Linked DNA regions of Tribolium castaneum. The protein of the gene in region 1 purifies or fractionates together with the protein of each later gene. This does not show direct contact. Links are inferred from orthologs where the notes say so. Each region holds a gene or a part of one and is shown on either strand. Other genes may lie near its edges.

Region 1 (2,933 bases):
AGCTATTATCAGTCAAACGCTTGGGGTTGTCCGAGGTATTTTTACCTCGAACAAAACAACGGATATGCTGCACAAGTTGTTCTACCTAGCGGTAAATCCATATCGGGAAAAACCGCAAAATCTCGGGAAGAAGCGAGTGAAAATGTGGCGCTAGATGCCTTAAACATGCTAAAAAATGTAAGATTTTTACGTAAAAATAATAAAACTAAAAGTATGTTCCTAGAAGAGTTCTAAGCCAGCAAAAACGGGCCTTCCGTCCGAATTTCCCGTGCCCCCAACCAAGTGGGTCCAAGACCGCCAACAACAAAACAAAATGCCATCCCAAGTTTTTGTGAATAAGTCGTACCAGGTACCACTCTAAATCGTCAAAGAAACGCCGAAATCTTTTATTTTAAGTTCAAACAGGGTGGACATAGTCAGCATCAGAGAATGCCGCCCCCGCACCAAACGGACTACAGTAGAAGGGACCCCGAGTCTAATTTTAGTCGAAATCCGCACACGAGTGCGAAAGCACACAATTTCGTGCCGCTTCAAGCGTTAAAAAAGAAGCAAACTCATGGGAATAAGAATCTTAACACTGGGAATAAGAATGTTAATGAAAATTCACCGCGGAAAAAACAAGAAAAAACTGATGTTTCAAGTAACAGCCAAAACGCTGGAATCTCGAAGGTGAAACTTGCAATGGGGATAATTTAAGTTGACTGACTTGTTACAGGCATGTGAGTTGGAGCGAAATGACCGGCGGGATAAATCAGCAAAGCAGAGGAAAACTAGAATTGCAGCTAGATTCAATCAGTAATTTTAAGAACTAATGGACTGAATTAAAATACATTTTGTTCCGTCTTAATTTCCTCCACTTTAGGTTGATTGAACTATTCCTTTTTAAAGAAATATTTATGGACAAAACTTGAACAAAACATGTGGTTTTTGAGTGTATATACGCTTTCATGCTGTAAATATACACATCCTTCTTTGCCTGTGGACTTTCATTACCTTTGTGCTGCTGATACCAAGCAAAAATGTGGTCAAAAATTTAACGAACACATTGATAGATTGCTATTTTAATTAATATATTTGAATTTTAACTTTTTTAATTTTTTGTCCATATAAAGGGCGGTTTACATTGACCGGTTATCATCATGGAATGAAACGACAGTGGGTGGTGTTTGATATTTTATAAATTCATAAAACACAAACTCGGGCTTTATTATTCAAATTAATTCGATGAAAACGTGATTACCTAATTAGGCATTAGATCTTTTGTGAATTTTTTGAAATTAAAAAAAATGGCGACGTTTTTCGCGGGCGTCGGCAGCGTTCGTGCATTTCCGGCGCAGTCGGGTTTTGGTCAGTTGGTTGTTCGCACTCGTAAATAAAAAATGTGTATGATTTTAAAACGAGACATTTGTTAAAACCAAATTATAAAGAACTCCTCACAAAATGGTTTCTAGTAACATTGAAAAATTAGCAGAAGACTTAGAGAAGCAAGAGTTAGAAGTAAGAGTCATCATCGAGAGATATAACCTCAAACTTCCAATTTTTTACAAATTTGGCGTTTTTTCAGGCACAGAACGGTATAGCATCACCTCAAGTTTACGAACAACTCCTAGCTATATATTTATACGAAAACGACTTGTAAGTATCGCCGGTTTTGGTTCGGTATTGCCGCTAAGGCTAGTTGTAGATGCAATGCAAAATATTTATGGAAACGCATCCCGGCTTCGGTGAAGTCGTCCACTCCTGAGCTAAACAACATCTGGGCCGTGGCCCAGCATATGTGGAAGAGGGACTTCCCGGGGATTTACAAGGCTCTGAACGCGGTAACATGGTCCGACGGTGTGGCGAATATTATGAAACAAGTTCAAGGTTTCTTGCTAATTGGATCACTCTAAACACCACTAATGATTGCGTTTTACAGACAGAGTGAGAAATAGATCAGTAGATTTAATAGCACAAGCGTATTCTTCAATAACATTAGACACTGTTTCTGCAATGACGGGCTTGCCCCCAGACATTTGTGCAACGGCTTGTGTGGAGAGGGGCTGGCAAGTGGAAGCCGACACTAGGATGGTTCACCCCGTTAGACCAACCCCACAAACTTCTGGCCAGACAAGTAGTGAAGATCAATTGTATAAACTGACAGATTTTGTATCATTTCTCGAAAATTGAATTGTATTTTTGTTTTTATAAGTTAATTGTAAGCTAATATAAATATTTCAGTAAATTCCTTCTCATTTAATTGACACAATGCAGAACCACTTGGTGTAATGCCAAACAATTTCCTAAAATAACGGGTGACACCTTCAGATATAAAATAATCCACAGGCGTCGCCCTACACGCAGTCAGTTTTCACACGCGACTAAATGGCTCCAGCTTCACCATGGGGGCCTCAATCGAGCGAAACGAAATGAACAAAATTCATAAAAACCGCCAAATAGCCTGTCAATTTGACAACTCGCCTGGGATTTGAGGTTAAAAACGCTTGACGTTTGTGTCATTGGGTGGCCAAAATTTATTTTTTATTTTATTTTCCAATTTAACGCAAAAATGGTAAAGCATTCGGTCGTCCAAAGGCACTGCTAATCGATTCCTTTCCAGCATGGAAGGATCAAAGTTCGCACTAGCGAAGAACAGAAGCTGCAAAAGCAGAAAGAGCAGCAGAAGAAACTGGTAGCTTATCGCATGGGAATGAAGCAGATCTTGTCGACGAGAAATAAGGAGAATTATGATCCGGCGTCGTTGCTTTTAAGTGGCCAGCTCTTGAGTGTGAATCCCGACATTTACACTTTGTGGAATTACCGTAAAGAAGCAACTTTAATGGAACTGAAGGAGAAGTAACTAATTTCAAGTCTTAAATTCTGTTTTTCACAATTTAACAGTCACTCAGATGCGGAGAATGGTGATGAGAAATCGATTGAGTTTTGCGAGAATG
Region 2 (4,389 bases), about 5.3 Mb from region 1:
AAACACCAATTGACGATTCTAGTTTTGACGATGTCCGCTTTGTTTACCATAGGGATCTTGGCGGCGATATTTCTCTTAGAAAGTAAGTTCTTCCGCTTTCATTTCAGCCAATTTCCAATTTTTTATTGTTTCAGTGAGGGCGAAAAGACAACGGTACTAGGATTAGGACAAGCATCGACATTTCTCCAAAAATTGACGAAGCATTGAAATGTCGTGCGCACTTATCGTAGTTAGTTATTTAATTCCCTATTTAATTAGGTTTAGCAACTGGACCAAAATTGTGGTTGTTCTAAATCATAAGCTATCCATAAGTATTTTTTGATGTTACTGTGATATGTAAAAGCAATCATTACAGCATTGTATAGTATTTATGAACAATTTTAAGGCAGGTCCCGAACCTCCTTGGAAATCTTGTAAATTGATTTTTAATTAAATTATACAAATAAATTTTCTACAAAACTAAGACTTACCTCAACGTCTTGGAGAGTCTGCGTCCACCTGTACTTGTCCAAATCACATCCATTGCCACTGTTTGGCTTCAATTTCCCAATCTCTGAGGCATCCTCATCCTCTTCAATTTTCTCAACAGCTGGGGCCCCATTACTCACCCCACTTTTCTTAGCATCTAACTCGGCTTGCAACTTTTCAGCCTCAGCATCAGTCAATTCGGTGATTTCCGCCGGTTTTACCTTCTCCTCTTCTTGCTGTTTCTTCTTTTTGGCGGCTTCACGTTCCCGACGCTCTTTTAACTCCGTCTCGTGTTTCTTACGACTAACTTGTTCGTATTTCCTAAATGTGCTCATTACTAACTAAAAACCAGGTCATTATTTTTCGAACTGGCTTTACCCCGGACTACCTTTTCCCATGCTCCTTCCTCGCCCCCGGTGAAAAAATCCGTCTTGCGGCTTAGAAAACTCACAAAAGTGTCCAATAACTACAGTTTTGTCGTGATTTTAAGGTTAGAGTAAACAGATCGAGGCTCACCTGCGAAGCGCCGTGCGGATGGTGCTGGGCTATTGACAGGAAGAGGGAATCGAATTGCTCAGTCTGATTATCATCGCCACTCATCTTGACTGGACTTTTTTCGTGAAAAAATGGTCAAAAATCGTGGAAATTGCTAGACTTTTCTTCTATCGACCAAATATCAATTGTACCAACCAAACCAATCGGCGTGAAAACTTCCAAAAACGGTGCTTGTACCAACATTGATGGGTCAACCGAATGTGGGAATTTTAGCCAAACGGGGACCACCCTCAAATTAAAATTAAAACATGCAAAGGGGGTGTATATTTCGATAGTGCGAAGCTTATTTCCTATTCGTTAAATTTCCCAAGGGTTTATTTTAGCTCTGTTTTTTTTTTGTACCATTGGCGGCACTTTTTTAGTAACATACGTGCTCGATTTTTCAATGGAAGCCAAGAATTGTGTTTTGCGCTTTGTGAATGTGTATTGCGCCAATTTGTGAAATAATCAAACTGATTACGATTTTTTACAAGCCAGAAGTGTAGAGTTCACATTATCGCATTGTTTTTGCCAGTCTCCCGGTGTCCTAATTATCTCACCTTGCAATTACGGAACTGTAAAGTATTTTAGGTTATGTTAAACTACCTCATGCCCTTTATTTTATAACGTTTTGAGCCAATAATGTCGGAAAACAGCAATTCGACTTCTGTTATGTCAGAAGTCACAACTCTGATAAGAAACTGGGAAGATGAACATACGGCGCCTAATTATGACCCCATTCAGACACTCACCAGGTAGATCTTGCCTTAATTTGGCAAATTCTTACCCTTTTGTTGGCAGATTGGCCGAAATATGCGAGGTGGAGACTGAAAATTACCTGAAAATGGATCCTGACCCATTTGATGAACGCCACCCTTCACGAACTGATCCTGACTGCAAACTTGGCCAAATTTTAAAAGCGCTTTTTAGGAAGGATATTTTTATGAACAAAGTATTAACTCTCCACAAAAACATAAAAAGACACACATAAATATTTTTTCAGCTTGTTAACGATTATTTGAGAGAAACGTACTACTCTCGGTCAGGAATCACAGACAAGGATGTTGATCAGTTGAATATTGCAGCTTGTAGGTTGATGCTAGACGTAATGCCTGGCTTAGAGACATCAGTGGTGTTTCAAGTACGTGTCAATTATTTTTTTGGGGGGAAAACTAACGACTAGTTTCAGCCCGATATGGATAATTTGATTCACCGTTTAATTAAATGGACTACAAATTCAATAGAACCTCTGCAAAGTTACGCAACGGGGCTTTTAGCTGCTGCAATGGAAATTCCAGAAATTGCCACACGTTTTAGGTAAGTTTCCGCTTTGGTCTTATCGCAGTTAATTACCAAAAAATAGGGAACAAAACGGACGACTTGTGCCTTTACTACTTCAAAGACTGCGTAGGCTTCAAAATTCCTCGGAATTTTTGACCACGACAAATACTCGACCTTTTGCACACTTATCTTCAATGAAGTCGCCCCCTTATCGCGGTGACGGTGTCGTAAAAGTTTCACCCTCTGGTATTAAAAGGCGTACGTAACGACACCCTATTGTATTTTACCCTTCAATAATTATTCTTACAGCCCGCGAGAATGGAGTTATTCCAAATTCGAAAACAACACTTAATAAAGAAAACACTGATGTGATTAACACTAGTGAGGTAAGCGCGCCTTTTCCTCCTCGTGATATGGTCTCACGTTTAATACAGTTATCAGATTCGGAAAGCGGCCAAAAACGCAAAAAACTAAAGCTGGAGCACAATTCAAGCGAAGCTGATGAAGGCTCTCCTCAAAAACCCTTCCTATTTAACGAAACGAGCAATTCGTCGTGGGCAGAGCTTGAAAGTTTTATGATTGGAACCGTGCAAATTTTTCCGCCAACTATAGCAACGCGTCAAATACTCATTTTACGTTATTTGACACCGTTGGGTGAATATCAGGAGTTTTTGAGTCATGTTTTCGAAAATGACGCTCTTAGTTTGGTCTTAAAGTATGTGAATGTCCGAGCGACTAAAGAAGCAAGACTTGCATTTGAAGCCTTGAAATATCTTGCTGCTCTTTTATGCCACAAAAAATTCTCGATTGAGTTTATTCAAATGGATGGTCTTGAGGCACTTCTGGAGGTGCCAAGGCCGTCAATATCAGCCACTGGGGTCTCGATTTGTTTGTACTATTTGGGGTATTGTGAGGAGGCAATGGAGAGGGTTTGTCTGCTTCCGAAATACATGATCACCAGTTTAGTCAAGTAAGTCTAAGTTATACCTTACAGTTTGTAAAATCAATTAAAACTCATAATTTAAAAAAAATCTTAGGTATGCTTTATGGCTTTTGGAATGCTCACACGATTCGGGCCGATGTCATGCTATAATGTTTTTCGGTCTCACGTTTCAATTCAAAGTGATTTTGGAGGAATTTGATGCTCATGATGGGTTACGAAAGTTACACAATGTGGTAAGTTTATCCCAAGTAAAAAAAATTGTTTGCTAGAGTTATATGTACAGATTTCTACTTTATCAATTTTACTGCCGGACACCGATACGACTCAACTAAACGAAGATCAAGAGTGCGCCGCTCGTCAAATCGTTCGCCACGTTTGTGTTGCATACCGTCGTTACCTTGAAGCTCATCTAAACCTAAAAGTAGAACCAATTAAAAGATCACAACTTAGACTTAACGAAAAAATGGCACAGCCGCCTTTACCGGCGCAGCCGAGCTACAAACCGTACAAGTCATCGCCTGAAGAGGTGCAACAGAACGTCGAAACGTTGTTGCAATATATGCCGTTTCGGTGCCATTGGACGCCAGTTGATCAGTTACTCAAATTAGGGGGAATCACACTCTTGTTGAAAATAATCGCGTTTGCGTATGAGTGGAATTATAGTGGGAGGGCTGAGACGGTCAGGTCGGCTTTGGATACGTTGGCTATTGCGTGTGTGATGCCTAAAGTTCAATTGTTATTTTGTGATAGGGTGGAATTGCCAGAGGAGAGTGCCACAGTTGGTACGAGAAAATCACAGTTTTGGGATTTTTTATTGTTTTTTTCTTCTGTAGGGATTAATATTATTTTGGGGGCCGCTGAGGGTGAAATAGTGGCCGATGCTGATGTACAAAAGGCTGCGCTTCGAGTCATTGTCAATTGTGTGTGTGCCCCCATAAATAGGGTACGTTTTTTACCGTTTCCAGACGTTTGTTTGATTTTTTTGTTAGGTTGGTGGTACTTTAACCCGATATTCGGCCACGGTTAACAGCCCAATTAAGAAAATTAAACTCAAAAGTAGCGAAGAATTGATTCAGAGAGTTTGGGATTGTGTCAGGTCTAATAGTGGTATTATGGTTTTGTTGCAATTAATGAATATTAAAACACCAATCACTGATGCGGAC

Evidence for each region.
Region 2: the proteins of CSN8 (region 1) and mahj purify together in Homo sapiens (affinity purification with mass spectrometry; 4 studies listed by BioGRID and IntAct, counting the BioPlex papers as one, with this or other methods). This does not show direct contact. The link is inferred for Tribolium castaneum from reciprocal best matches to the Homo sapiens genes COPS8 and DCAF1.

Annotation. Positions count from the first base shown.
Region 1 is NC_087398.1:6,313,497-6,316,429, forward strand, and holds CSN8 (COP9 signalosome complex subunit 8), read left to right. Parts: upstream 1-1,313; 5' UTR 1,314-1,440; coding exon 1,441-1,497; intron 1,498-1,564; coding exon 1,565-1,635; intron 1,636-1,684; coding exon 1,685-1,866; intron 1,867-1,918; coding exon 1,919-2,169; 3' UTR 2,170-2,224; downstream 2,225-2,933. Other genes in the region: pcm (5'-3' exoribonuclease 1), read left to right, coding at 1-177, 224-349, 397-669, 716-799; RabGGTa (geranylgeranyl transferase type-2 subunit alpha), read left to right, coding at 2,549-2,551, 2,600-2,835, 2,881-2,933. UniProt on the Homo sapiens protein: Component of the COP9 signalosome complex (CSN), a complex involved in various cellular and developmental processes.
Region 2 is NC_087398.1:985,993-990,381, reverse strand, and holds the start of mahj (protein mahjong), read left to right. Parts: upstream 1-1,376; 5' UTR 1,377-1,644; coding exon 1,645-1,757; intron 1,758-1,803; coding exon 1,804-1,954; intron 1,955-2,005; coding exon 2,006-2,143; intron 2,144-2,191; coding exon 2,192-2,319; intron 2,320-2,365; coding exon 2,366-2,541; intron 2,542-2,592; coding exon 2,593-2,669; intron 2,670-2,717; coding exon 2,718-3,253; intron 3,254-3,320; coding exon 3,321-3,459; intron 3,460-3,509; coding exon 3,510-4,008; intron 4,009-4,059; coding exon 4,060-4,169; intron 4,170-4,215; coding exon 4,216-4,389. Other genes in the region: uncharacterized protein LOC656652, read left to right, coding at 1-82, 135-160; nuclear migration protein nudC, read right to left, coding at 471-809, 857-934, 985-1,068. UniProt on the Homo sapiens protein: Acts both as a substrate recognition component of E3 ubiquitin-protein ligase complexes and as an atypical serine/threonine-protein kinase, playing key roles in various processes such as cell cycle, telomerase regulation and histone modification.